Rattus norvegicus: one gene and its partners. The protein of the gene in region 3 purifies or fractionates together with the protein of the main gene of each other region. This does not show direct contact. Links are inferred from orthologs where the notes say so. Each region holds a gene or a part of one and is shown on either strand. Other genes may lie near its edges.

Region 1 (4,358 bases), on a different chromosome or scaffold from region 3:
GGCTGTGTCAGATTTGTTTTTAAACAGCACAGTGCCCTGTACAGTTACCACACTACCAAAGGTGTCTTTAGACAGCCTTGTCCTGTAGTGTTTTCAATAGCCACTAACCTTGCCTGGAACAGCCTGGGGATTATAAAGTGGCATGGAAATTTAAAACAGGCTCTTGTATCTGATACATAGCACAAATTAGTTATATATGTGGACTGGTAGTTTTTTGGGTTTTCAGTTTTGTCTCTGTTGCAGCTTATACAAGGATAATTGTTCTGTCAACAGAATACCACTCTATAATTACAAAAAAAAAAAAGCTGTTTTGTTGACATTCTAAAAGCATCTAAGTAAATACAGATGTTTAGTAGATTTAATTATCCTGAGAAAAAAGTTCATTAAAACCATTCACATGTCTAGAACATACCATTTTTTCTTCATATGTAGGATCAGGTTCTTGGATTTCTTTTTGCTTTCCAGGTGATCCATCATCAAATACTTCCTGGTAGGAAAGGAAATTCATCAAATTGTTTAAGGATTGTCTACTCACTATCATACACTCATTTCTTTCAAAAAAAAAAATCATTCTAAATAATATACTCTTGCTCCAAACTCCCTAGATATTTACTGGCTATCAGATAACCTGGAATGAAACTTAATATGGATGAAAATAAAATACTATGGGGATAATCACTTTTCCCAATTATAAACTGTATTAAGATCTGCTATGATAAAATTAGTATCAATAACACCCTAAAACAAAATTACTTTTTATACAAGCCATACGGGCAAATCTGTATCTTTTCAAATAAAATTATAAATACAAATTAGGTAACATGAATGTGAACAAAGTTCTCTTTATATCATAAAACTCCATCTATCTACTGTGTTATTTTATACAAATGTATACATAGAAGGAAGCATTAGATCCTAATTTCCACTATCTAGGACATTACCCAAAAAAGGAGCTTACATAGCATACCCTTAGTCTGACTCCCAGTTAATAATATTCTATTCTTAAAAAGCATCTTGACATTCAAATGCCACAAGCAAAATGACAAAACCTCCAGCTCTAACTTATAGAAAAATTCTTGTAGCACACATTCAAGGAAAAGTACACCTTACAATAATAATGTGTGTTTTCCAACTGCAGATGTTACGTCTATAATTCAGTCTTTTTTTCCAACTGTAAAACATACCTAAGGTCCTCAAATACATTAGACATACTCAACTCAAACCTAGTTCTGATTCTAAATTCAGTTAAGACAATGAAAAGCAGTCTGAAGGTAACTGTCTTAAGAGGGAATAAAATAACCAGGAGAATTTAAACCCCAATGAAATTCTTTAATTCTTGAGTTGCTGTTTTTCAATTAAAATGTAAATATGAACATAAATGTGAAAAGCCCAAATAAGTGGTATTTCCATTAACCAGACGAGTAAACTGGGTCTTCTCAGTATAGAAATACCAATAGTTTCTATTTTTTCTCAATCTTATTCTTCACTCCTTTTCTGTTTATGTCATAGTTCCTACTTGTTTATTCTTATTGTTTTGGTTTTTTGAGACAGGATTTCTCTGTGTAGCCCTGGCTGTCCTGGAATTAGCTCTGTACACAAGGCTGGCCTCAAACTCACGAGATACCTCTGCCTCTGCCTCAAGTTCTGGGATTAAAAGGCCTGAGCCACCAGATTCCTTTATTTCATGGAACAGAAATATAAGAATCCAAGTTAAACAACCCTAGAAACTCTAAAAACCATTTAAAACCATAGGGGGAGCATCAAATACATTTTTAAACTGAAATTGCATTCACTTCAAATTGGTGCACTACACCAGCACCTACCTTCCCCAGGAAAAGTTGTTTCGAAGATTAACAATATTTCACCCAAGCTGCCCAATAAAAGTAAGCACACTGCACCATCATCTCCTTAGAGTGTAAATTCTATGCTAAGGTTCATTTTTATTGTATTACTTCCAATCTGAGGATTAAATTCCCAGGAATCTTCAGACTGGAACCTCAAATAATAATAACACCTCAAAACAAGACCAAGGCCAAGAATAAAAATTGGGAGCAATAACTTGGTTTCCAGGCAACTCAAAGCCTGGGAGCATATCCAAGAGACCTGCCTGGCAGCTCCCCCATTTTCCACCCTTTCCCTGCTTCCTCCAGTATTGTCACCATCATCTGGCCCACTAGAGCCCTGAGAAGGTGGTTCAACAGCGATTCCTCCAAATGGCTTCAAAAGGAAGCAACGTACTGGGCTAGGAGCCCATCACCCTCCCCCGATGCTCCCATTCATTCAGTTTTCCACGCATACACCCCTAATTGGATGGGGAACCAAGACAGGTGCTGCGGCTGTCATGCTCGCTCTCCTCCCAGTGGAGCAGGGCCCAGGAGGGGCCTCCCCTCGCTGCACAGAAGCAGCTGCGCCCCGCTTATCCCCACTGCGCATTCGGCCCTCCAGTTCTCGCCATTGTTTCTGCCCAGAACAGACTGATGCCGCCCCCGCCAGCACGGGATGAGGCACTGGAGGCGCAAGTCCTCAGCTGCGACGCTGGGAAACGTCGCCCTCGCCCCGGGAATCCCACTCCGGAGGGGCATTTCCCTCGCCCTCCTCAAAGTTTAGTGCAAACTAAAACCTAAATCGGAGGAACCCGAGCGAGTTCTGGGGGAGCCTAGCGATAGAGGAAACGGGTCCCTTCGGCCACAGTAATCAGGAACATGTGTTTCGTAAGAGCGATCCGCGATCTGGCTAGGCTAGCTACACCGAGGGGGAAAACGTAAAGGTGAAGTGCGGGAGACGCGCCAGCAGAGCATCCATCTCCCTACCCCACGCCCCGGCCGCGCTCACCTCCATCTCGGTGTCCGCGGGACCCGCGCCTGTGGCGCTCGGAGCCGCCGGCGCCGCGCCGCCCTCCGGGCCGCCTTTGTTGCCGCTGCTGCTCCCGCCGGCGCCCGCCGCCGAGGGCTTGGAAGGCGCGCTCTCGGGAGGCGGGGGCGGCGGAGGCTCAGCCGTGGACGACATGTTCCGGCTGCGTCACCCGCCGCGGCCACGGGCAGGCGCGGCGCCGAGGAAAGCGGCCTGGGCCTGCGCGGCTCTAGCGTCCGGGCCGCCGGAGGAGCGAGACCCGCCCGGAAGCTCTCACGCGCAGGGGCTCCGCCACCGACCAGAGCCGGCCCAGCCGCGACGCTCGCCTAGTCCTCCTCTTCCGCGGGACTCCGCTCCACTGGCGTTTACCTCACGGCGGGAATCACGTCGACGAGGGTGGGCGGGGCCAGCGGGGTCAAGGAGGTCAGGGAGGGCGGGCTGACTGTGAGGAGGCGGAGGGCCGAGGGAAAGGGAAAGGAAAGCGAAAGGTACTCAGAGGTCTCCCGGCGCCTTCTCCTCTACCGGAGTAGATTATCTTCTCCAACCAACCAGACAGCGACCTACGCCACCCGCTCTCAACCCTCGCGAGATCGCTAGTTCCCCCTTCGAGGGCCGGGTTGCGAGGGCGCATGCGCCTGTTCCTCCTAGACTCCGCCTCCTCCGGGCCGCCAGCGGGTTGTGGAAGGCGAGTGGGCGGGGCCTCGAGGAGGCGCGTCGGCGGAGGTTTGCGCGTTCGCTCCTTCGTGTGACGCGAGCTGGCTCTTCGGCGCTCCCGTAACGGCTCCGCTCGCTGTCTCCCGCCGGCTAGAGAGGCCCGCTTGGGAACGGCGCGACTGCCTGGCGACTGTTAGGCGTGGAGCAGAGGCCTGGGCTGGCCTTCGTCGTCCTACCGCCTTCGCTCACTAGCGTGACGTTAAGTGACGTTGGACGCCTGAGAAGAAAAATCTCCTCAGAATTAAACTCTGTGTTCGCTGCATCGGTCAGCTCCCCTTAGAGAGTTCGGTCTATCTCGGCGTTTGTGAACTTCAGGTTAGGCCAGAAGACGCGCTGCCCTGTGAGAACACGAATGGCAACAGATGAAGACAAATGAGAGCGTGTTTTTTACATCAAACAAAAATGCACGTTTGTCTCCAGAAGTGTTTACTAGGCGTGGTGATGCACGCCTTTAATCCCAGCACTGGGGAGGCAAAGGCAAGCAGATCTCTGAGTTCAAGGCCGCCTGATCTACAGAGCGAGTTCCAGATCAGCCAGGGCTACAAAGAGAAAAGTGTTCGTTGTTCTTGTTGCTTCTTTATCCTGCCTCAGGCTGTCATGGAAGCTACTGAGGTCTTTCGTCCTATCCTACAGAATCTAAACACCTACTCCCATGCACAAAAGATATTTGTCATCTTAATCCCGCTCGTTATTTCGTCCCCACCTATATTGAATAAAACTCTTTTCCAGACCTAATTTCAAACTTCTTGGAATAGATAATATTCATATATAAGTTTAAATGTTCGAACCAGTCG
Region 2 (4,003 bases), on a different chromosome or scaffold from region 3:
CTGGGTCTTTTAGTAACAAGGGACCAGCTTCTGGTTGCTCTGATCGAGTGTGCACTGTTCACATGGAAGGCTATTATATACTTACACTAGGCTACAAGAACAGGGTCTTTATATTAAACCAGGCTCAGGACATTGCAAATGCTTACTGGTCTAAGTTCTCCTCAGCAAACCAGAAGAAACTGTGTTTCCTCCTGTTTCTTAGAGAAAGAGTAACTTTTATTTATTTCTTTTTTGTGTGTTTGTAGGGGGGCATTCCTGTGGCAGTCAAACTTGTATGAATCAGTTCTCTCTTTCCACCATGTAGGCTTCCGGTGTCAAACACATACCCAGAGGTTTGGTGTAAAATACTTTAACCCACTGAACCAATTCGCCAGTCCTCTTAACACTTAAACAAAAATGTGTGTGAGCAATAGAAATGTAGTGATTTGGTGAGAAAACAGCGTATCTTCCACCTCACCGGGGATGCTATCCAGATGTAGATGCTAAATTACAAATACACACTGCTATTAATCCTCATCACTCTGAATCCAGCAAAGAACAGACTGTCTTGAAATACACATCATAATATTCTGCCTTAAATACTGAAGACTTAGGGGTAAAAAGAGAACAAGAAGGGCTACTATTAGGTGACCAGAAAGAACAGAGAATGCAGAGAAGGACCCATGAGTTCGTAAAAGAGAATACAAAGCTAATTGTTTTTCTAATTCTAAGTTTTCCATGGAGTTTTCCGGGCTTGTATGTGTACGTGGTAGATAAGTACATAAAAATGTAGTTGACAGTGAACGTGTAAAATCCAAAGTGAAGTTCCACAGTTTCAGAACTTCTGTTCTAATTGCATAGTTCACGGACCTGTGAAGACTCTGGGTTGGGGCAGGTGTTTGGCTACATTAATCTGCTTGCCTGACATTTTTTATTTGCGATTTCTTTGCAGAAAGGATTTTTTTTTTAATTCAGGAATAGTCAGAAAACTTGGGCAATTATTTGTTTAGGTCGAGAAGAGATTTTTAGACTAAACCTGGCAAGGAGTGGTGTATCCTCAAAAGGTACCGCGACCGCGCTCAGCAAGCTATTCGATGCGCTCGACGCTCTTTCGCTGGCGCCGTAGCACCGCGGTAGGAGTCTGCGCTCTGGGCTCGACTGAGGCTCCCTGGTTGCTCGCGCTTTTCTCTCCTTCTCCAAGATGGCGGCGGTCGGCGGCGCTGAGGCGGGATCCGAGCGAGCCGAGTGAAGGTAGCGGCGAGCGGAGCCCCCACCAGACCCAGCCGGACCCCCACCCCGGGGCGGCAACGGCCCTGCCCGGCCTCCGCCCACCGCTCCGGCCCCCCGACACCGTCCCGGAGGCTCTTCAGGCCCGCCGCGGCCTAGCTCAGGGGCCAAGCCGGGAACTGGAGTAGCGGCCGCAGCCGCCCCGGGGAAGGGGCTGGAGCGGGCCGCAGGAGGAAGGCGGCGGGAGCTGTTCAAACCGGGAAGGCGGGAAAGCTGCGGGGCCGGGAGGGGGCGTGCGGCCGCCCCAGGGACCCGCGGCCCGCGCCGCCCCTCCCCCTGCGCCGCCGTCTGTGCGCTCCGGGGCGCCGGAGGCCGACGGGACGCGGGAACTCGGGTCGGGAGGAGCGCGGCTGGGGACCCCAGGCGCGGGTTACCTGGGGCTGTCAGGAGGAGAGGTCCCGGGCCGACGGGCGGGAGGGCTGGGCGCGCGGCGAGCGGGAGAGGATGCGCGGAGCTCCCTGAGCTGCGCAGAGCTTTGTTGAACTAGCGGTTGCAGCAGACCTGCCGAGGTTAACAAATCGGGGACCCCGGGAACGGTGGTCTTGGGGACTGTGTGGATAAACAATCTCGTATTGTGTGTGTTCTTTGCGTGCGACTCAGTTTGAACATGTCTTAAGTGGAGTCATCTCCATACAGGCCCATTTCCCCCTCCACAACCACTACTTGTAGATTCACTTTAGTTTATATCATACATCAGACAAGATATGTCTACCGCCCACCCTACCCTTGTTTCTAGTACTGGCTGATTCTATTCCCTTGTAGCAAAATAAATTTTTTTAAAAACTGCATCCAAAGTAAAGCCTGTTGATTACGCATGGCTTGTCAAAATTTGGATCGCAGGTTTCGTGGAACCGAGTGTGTTATTAGCCAATCTGTGCTGTGGTCGTGATTACACTTATTAGCATTGCAACGAGAAGATTCAGTGCGCGTTTCTGGCTGTAGAGATCTCTGCAAGTTCCGAAGCTGGCAGGGGCTGGAGTGCTGCTTAGGTAGGTCCTTGGAAAAGGGTGTGGCGAGAAGAACTCCAGGAGATCGGATAAGGAAGGAAACCCACTGAAACAAGAATTCACCTGTGCTACGGTAGAAGTAGCAACAAAATATCAGAATCTGTGGACATCTGGAAGTGTTTCTTCCTTTGACTGCGTGGACTGGCAATCTGAGTTCCTAGAAACAGCCTTGGGGGAAACCCCCATCTGGAGGACAGAGACCTTCCTTGCCCAGTTTACTAGGTGGATTTTCTTTCTCAATTCTCCAATCTGTTCTGGGATGATGATGATGATGATGATACTGTTAGCGATTGCTGGAATAGAGATTACCTCCAAAAAACTCATTTTCTGAAACTTTTTTTTTATAGTTAACACTTTGAATTTCCAAAATAACAAAATTCTACCTTTGAAGATTTTAACTTTTTTCATAATTACTTGGTTATCCCAAAAGCCTGTGCTGAAGGTTGACCTGCAGTTTTACTGTCAAGTGGAATTAAGAGCCTGCTTCTCCTTTCCCATACCCTGAAGAAAAGCCTTGGAAGAGCCCAGCCACCGTGTTCACGTTTTCTAAGCATTCGCTTTCTATATATAATGACGTAAACAGTATTAAACAATGAATGAGCTTTTCTATGCTGTCATGTCTTTGCACACCAAGACAAACACTAACTGTAAGATTATCCTGATCCAAGAAGTTGACAACATTGAATTTTGTAAACTCCAAAATTATGGAATTCGAGAGAATGGATTTTGGCGCCTGTTTTATGTTGCCAACATTTGATGTAGTTTTCTGATGTGAAAATCAAACCTAAATTTTTCATCTTCATTAACCCTCCCAGTTTACTTCCTACCCCGGAGTCCTCAATTTAATTGGTGTTTATCTAATCTTGTATAAATGTTCCTGAACTCTGCTTTCTTTCACACTGCTGCTTGAGACCTTTTTCCCCTGGTACTGTCTTATGAGTCAGCTACCATGGAACCCTGAGCCACCATTCAGGGCCCGCCAATCTGCCCGGCCTGTGACTAGTCCATAGTAGTTCTCGGTTTCTGGACTTCCCTACATATTGGTGACCTGGACTTGTGTTCAGGGCTCACTCACTCTTCCCATGAGCATCTGGTCTTTGTTTTGAGAAAGTTCCAGTAGTAGCAGGTATGACCCTAATACAAAAAGCCTGCACATCTGTGTTGACCTGCCTTAAGGAACATTCCCTGATTTTACTTTTCCAAACCATTTTTAAAAATCTACTAGTTTTTCACAGCAGTCAGGAAATAACTTTTCATACCTAGTAAAAAGTTCAGTCAGCTCCCACACCAGTAAGATACTGATTAATTCTGTCTCATCAGTTTTAATGTTCTCAAGGAGGAAAACCTGTTTATGAGTCTCTGAGCCTGCCTTTACTTACGTTTAAAAGTGTATTGGTGTTTGACCAATACACTTTTAGTGGCTGTATCATGAGACTAAATATGGATGTTGTTGGACTGGGAAGGAAGAGGGCATTATTTCTCAAGAATTCTATGCCAAAATTCATCTGGCATGAAAAGCCTGAAACTTCAGTCTAAAATTGTTTTACCTAGTATCAGCCTGTGAAAGCCAAGGGGACCTGTATGGCTTTCTAATAAACTCATCGTTTTTGAACTAGTGAGAATATTGCCCTTGTTTTGTTTGAGAGATTCTCTCTAAATAGTCCTGGAATTCATTATGTCAATCAGGCTGGCCTTGAACTCACAAGATAGCCACTTGTCTCTGCTATCCA
Region 3 (4,311 bases):
TGTGTTGCCTTCGAAAACGGTAGCTGAGGCCTTGATTCCCCAAGGCTCTAATGACCGCCACTTCCAGAAATATGAAGTGTGTTTCCCTCATCTCTTCCATCTGCTCCCATGATAATGACGCGTCTTGGAGAGCTGATTGCTATATACCTCCTTATACCCAGTCACTCTTCCCAGTGTCCTACCTCGCTCCCTGTTACAGATGGCTGAGTCCGATTCCAGATACAACCACCCTGCTCCTAGCCCTTTCTAGTTAATCTCTGGTGCAAGTGTTGGGCCAACATTAGAAATGGGAGGAGCCTAGGGAGTAACCAAAGCCGTAAGGTAAGAATTTGACAACCTACCTATCCCCTTACTCTTCCAGATAATGCTCGGGATATTTTTCAATGTCCATTCTGCTGTGTTAATTGAGGATGTCCCCTTCACAGAGAAAGATTTTGAGTAAGTGGTCGGGTACTTGGGCGAGTTGGGCGTAGATGAGAAGTAGCATGGTTTGGGTTTATGTGGAGGACACTTCTGAAGACTGGACATTTATGGCCCTAGGCTGGGGACTTCAAGGGCTGCTCTTTACAAAATAAGTTTAATGGCAAACGTGTGCTTCACACGCAGGGTCCTACTTTCAAACCCCAGGATGAGGGCAGGAGGGGTGGAGGGGGACTTAGGAGCAGTCTTGCAAGTCAGGTTTCCTTGGTTACCCCCAGCCCACCAGCTTAGATGTGGTCTCTTCCAATATTTTGCCTTCCTGCTCCTTAGTCTACCTCTGTAAAATGGACACCATGATAGAACTCAGCTGGTATGATTCTCGGAAAGACTAGTAGAAGTCAAAGTGCTTTAGCATGGCGTCTGATACATAGAACTTGCATATTGGATGCTCTGAATGGTTTACATTTCCCTGCTCACTCGCCACCTTCAGGAACGGCCCTCAGAACATATACAACCTGTACGAGCAAGTCAGCTACAACTGTTTCATCGCCGCGGGCCTCTACCTCCTCCTCGGGGGCTTCTCCTTCTGCCAAGTTCGTCTCAATAAGCGCAAGGAATACATGGTGCGCTAGAGCGCAGTCCGACTCTCCCCATTCCCCTCCTTATTTAAAGACTCCTCAGTCCATCTGTTCCACTCATCTGGTGTCCTTTGGGACTGTTACCCTGGCGAGACGTCATCCCTGGCCCTGCAAAACTGCTGCCCAACCCCTGGAGGGGACCGGGGGTGACCGCGCCCTGTCCTGAACTACAATAAAAAGAAGCGGTTCTCCTAAGTTTGGTGTCTGTGCTTTCAAGGAGGGGGCGGGCCTGGGCTTGAAGGACAGACCGGCCTCGACGAGGAACCCGAACCCTTCGACGGAAGTGGAATGAAGCCAGCCGGAAATGAAGCGACGTCTTCCACCTCGTCTTCCTCCGCGCAGCGAGGCAGTTTGAGTGACTGGGGAGAGGTCGTGTCTCAGCCAATCAGCTGCAAGAAGGGCGGGACTTCCTGCGCGGGAGCCAGAGCGGCCGGCTGCCGGGCTCTCCGTGGTTTCCAGCTCGCGTGGTGGTGGCGGCGGAGCGTCTCCGTGAGGAGGTGCGCGGGGCCATGACGTCAGCGTCCACCAAGGTTCGACCTCCCTCGCGGACTGCGCTCCCTGGCGGCCACGGGAGGGTGGGCCCCCTGCCTGGCTCCCGGCTGGTGCGCGCTGGGCGGGGGGCGGGCGGATCCGAGGCTGGGGTGGGACGGCGCGATGCCGGCCCCCCGTAATGCTGCTCCGCCCCCAGGTTGGAGAGATCTTTTCCGCGGCCGGCGCCGCCTTCACGAAGCTCGGGGAGTTGACGATGCAGCTGCATCCAGTATCGGACTCTTCCCCTGCCGGGTACGTGAGACCAGACTAAGACTTGGACGCCGAGAGCAGACGTTTGGACTCAGTCACAGTCACGACCCTTTCTAGAGCAGGGAGATTTACTAATTCCTCTGTGCCTGGCCCAGCGCTGTGTAGGTGTAAATTGTTGTTGAATTAGTGAATGACAGGTAAAGATACTACCGGTCCACAACCCTCCGCTGCAAACCGACATACTGTCTGCCACCTACCCCAAGCCTTGTGGACTCCCTCAAACTGCTGCCACACATCGTTCAAGGGTTCTATTTGTAAAGCCCCTACTTGTTGCATTGGTTTCCATGGGTTGTTTATAGAAGCTGTTACATGATGAAGAGATGTTTTCAAGTGGCCCTGGATGCAATTTCATGTGGCTAGCGGTTTGTCCCCAGGGCTTTTCTTAAGGAGGTTCTTTTTATGAATCTTTGAAAGGTGCCCCTAGAGACTAGAGGGAAGAGGCTACTTACTGGCTGTGGACGGAATAGCCTGTGGGCTGGTTCCACACACTCCTCTGCCATTTTTGCTATCACCCTTCTCCCCTTCCGACAGTGCCAAGTGGACGGAGACGGAGATAGAGATGCTGAGGGCTGCTGTGAAGCGATTTGGGGACGATCTTAATCACATCAGCTGTGTCATCAAGGAACGGACAGTGTGAGGGAGGGTGGTTGGCAGAGAAAGGGGAGGGTGGGCAACTTTCTTCCTCCTTACCCATTGTTCTTTCTCAGAACTCCCAGCTCAGCATCTTTCCTACTTTGTTCCTAGTTTTGTTAGCATTTCCTTGAAGACTGAAAGACCATAAATGTGGCAGTTGGTTGGAAGTTCAGGAAATGCAGTGGTCACTAGGAAGGACCTGCAGAGAATTTTATTTTCAGGGTGCCCCAGATACACAATGGGTGTGTTTGATGGTGAGGGTTCCTTGGCTATTTATATAAATCCTTTGAGACTCGCATGTCCAGGGATGCATTCTGAACTAATTAGCTGGACAGGTTCTATGAGAAAGTCTCAGTCTGCCTCTCTGTCACCACAGCGTACCTGGTGGCCCTACAAATCCATACATCTCCCAGAGAATCATGAAAAGGGCCTTTCTGGCCACTCAGTTCAGGAACTCCATTCTTCATAACCAGTTATCCCTAAGTGGATGCAAAGGTTCTGAAGGTGTGTGGGGGTGGGTGGGGGACCCTGATGACTCATGAATTAAGGCCTTGACCTGGATATTTATGAAGGAACTAGAATTCCTTCAGAGTGGCCCATTATTCCCTTCCCTCCCCTCTTCCCTCCGCTTCTCTGATGACTCCCTAATCTGGTCTCTCTCTTATCTTCAGGGCTCAGATAAAGACCACTGTGAAGAGAAAAGTATACGAAGACTCCGGTATCCCCCTTCCAGCTGAGTCACCCAAGAAAGGTCCCAAGAAGATGACATCCGGTGTCCTCTCACCTCCAAACGCCCCTCCGCCCAGCAGCTCCAGTGTCCCTGAAGCTGGGGGTCCTCCCATAAAGAAACAGAAGGCTGGTGAGGGCTGTGGAGTTGCTGCCTAGGGTAGGGGTTAAAGGTCCTATCTGAGATTCATTGAGAGAATTGGGCCTGGATCTAAGAAGGAGAGACCTCTCTCTTCTGTACTCCGATGATTCCAAAGCGGGTAGAGGGTTGTGTAAGGCATGAAGCTTTGGCTAACTGGGAGGAGGGGAAGACAGCAGTCAGGGAAACCTAGAACCTAGCCTATGCCCCCTCCCAGATGTGACACTCAGTGCTCTGAACGACTCCGACGCCAACAGTGACCTGGTGGATGTCGAAGGGCTAGGAGAAACTCCTCCAGCCAAGAAACTCAACTTTGACCAGGGTAGGAGTCCTCCTCCTCCCACACTGGCTGGGGTGGGGAAAGTACTCACCTGGATGGTAGGGGACGGCCCTAGCAGAAGCCCTTTTTTGGTGCAGGGGCCTCAAAAGGAAGACTCAGCACAGGGGACTGGGCCAGTCAGTAATACGACGATCGAGGAGGTGAGGGTTTTCTTGGAAAAAAATCCTCCGTGCTTGCTCCATCTCTGTCCATTGTACTTCCTGTTCCAGACAGCCTGACCCTGGACTCTGGCCTTCTCTCGACCTCTGCTGATGCTCCTCTACTCTCCTGCTGAGCCTTCCACCTCTGACCCTCATTGTTCACCCTGGACCTGTGGATCGCCTGGGACTCTAAGCAAGGACTGCACGAGAGAGGGTCAGAGGGCTGCTGGAGCTACCCGCCCTGTTCCTGATAACCACCTCACCCTTTGACTTCTGTCTGATGGACGTTTTTATACAGAAAATTATAATTAAAAATAATTCTCTCAGCATGGTGCTGCCAGCTGCTGTTTCCTCTTCTCCTTCGCCCTCGGGAGTTCAGCCCCTTCAGTAGCTCTCACCACCCTGCCTGGAGCAGCACAGCCAATATTGGCAGACTCACTTACCCGTGCCAATATTTCTGTGCTGCTAGAGCCA

The links.
Region 1: the proteins of C10h17orf49 (region 3) and Smarca5 purify together in Homo sapiens (affinity purification with mass spectrometry; 5 studies listed by BioGRID and IntAct, with this or other methods). This does not show direct contact. The link is inferred for Rattus norvegicus from reciprocal best matches to the Homo sapiens genes BACC1 and SMARCA5.
Region 2: the proteins of C10h17orf49 (region 3) and Hmgxb4 purify together in Homo sapiens (affinity purification with mass spectrometry; 4 studies listed by BioGRID and IntAct, with this or other methods). This does not show direct contact. The link is inferred for Rattus norvegicus from reciprocal best matches to the Homo sapiens genes BACC1 and HMGXB4.

The regions. Positions count from the first base shown.
Region 1 is NC_086037.1:44,174,820-44,179,177, reverse strand, and holds the start of Smarca5 (SWI/SNF-related matrix-associated actin-dependent regulator of chromatin subfamily A member 5), read right to left. Parts: upstream 2,839-4,358; coding exon 2,833-2,838; intron 488-2,832; coding exon 413-487; intron 1-412. UniProt on the Homo sapiens protein: ATPase that possesses intrinsic ATP-dependent nucleosome-remodeling activity.
Region 2 is NC_086037.1:13,369,394-13,373,396, forward strand, and holds the start of Hmgxb4 (HMG domain-containing protein 4), read left to right. Parts: upstream 1-1,165; 5' UTR 1,166-1,230; intron 1,231-1,748; exon of another isoform or gene 1,749-4,003. UniProt on the Homo sapiens protein: Negatively regulates Wnt/beta-catenin signaling during development.
Region 3 is NC_086028.1:55,450,503-55,454,813, reverse strand, and holds C10h17orf49 (chromatin complexes subunit BAP18), read left to right. Parts: upstream 1-1,502; 5' UTR 1,503-1,567; coding exon 1,568-1,588; exon of another isoform or gene 1,589-1,746; coding exon 1,747-1,841; exon of another isoform or gene 1,842-1,956; intron 1,957-2,308; exon of another isoform or gene 2,309-2,390; coding exon 2,391-2,492; exon of another isoform or gene 2,493-2,996; intron 2,997-3,163; coding exon 3,164-3,351; intron 3,352-3,574; coding exon 3,575-3,679; intron 3,680-3,906; coding exon 3,907-3,971; 3' UTR 3,972-4,166; downstream 4,167-4,311. Other genes in the region: Rnasek (ribonuclease kappa), read left to right, coding at 362-438, 911-1,052. UniProt on the Homo sapiens protein: Component of chromatin complexes such as the MLL1/MLL and NURF complexes.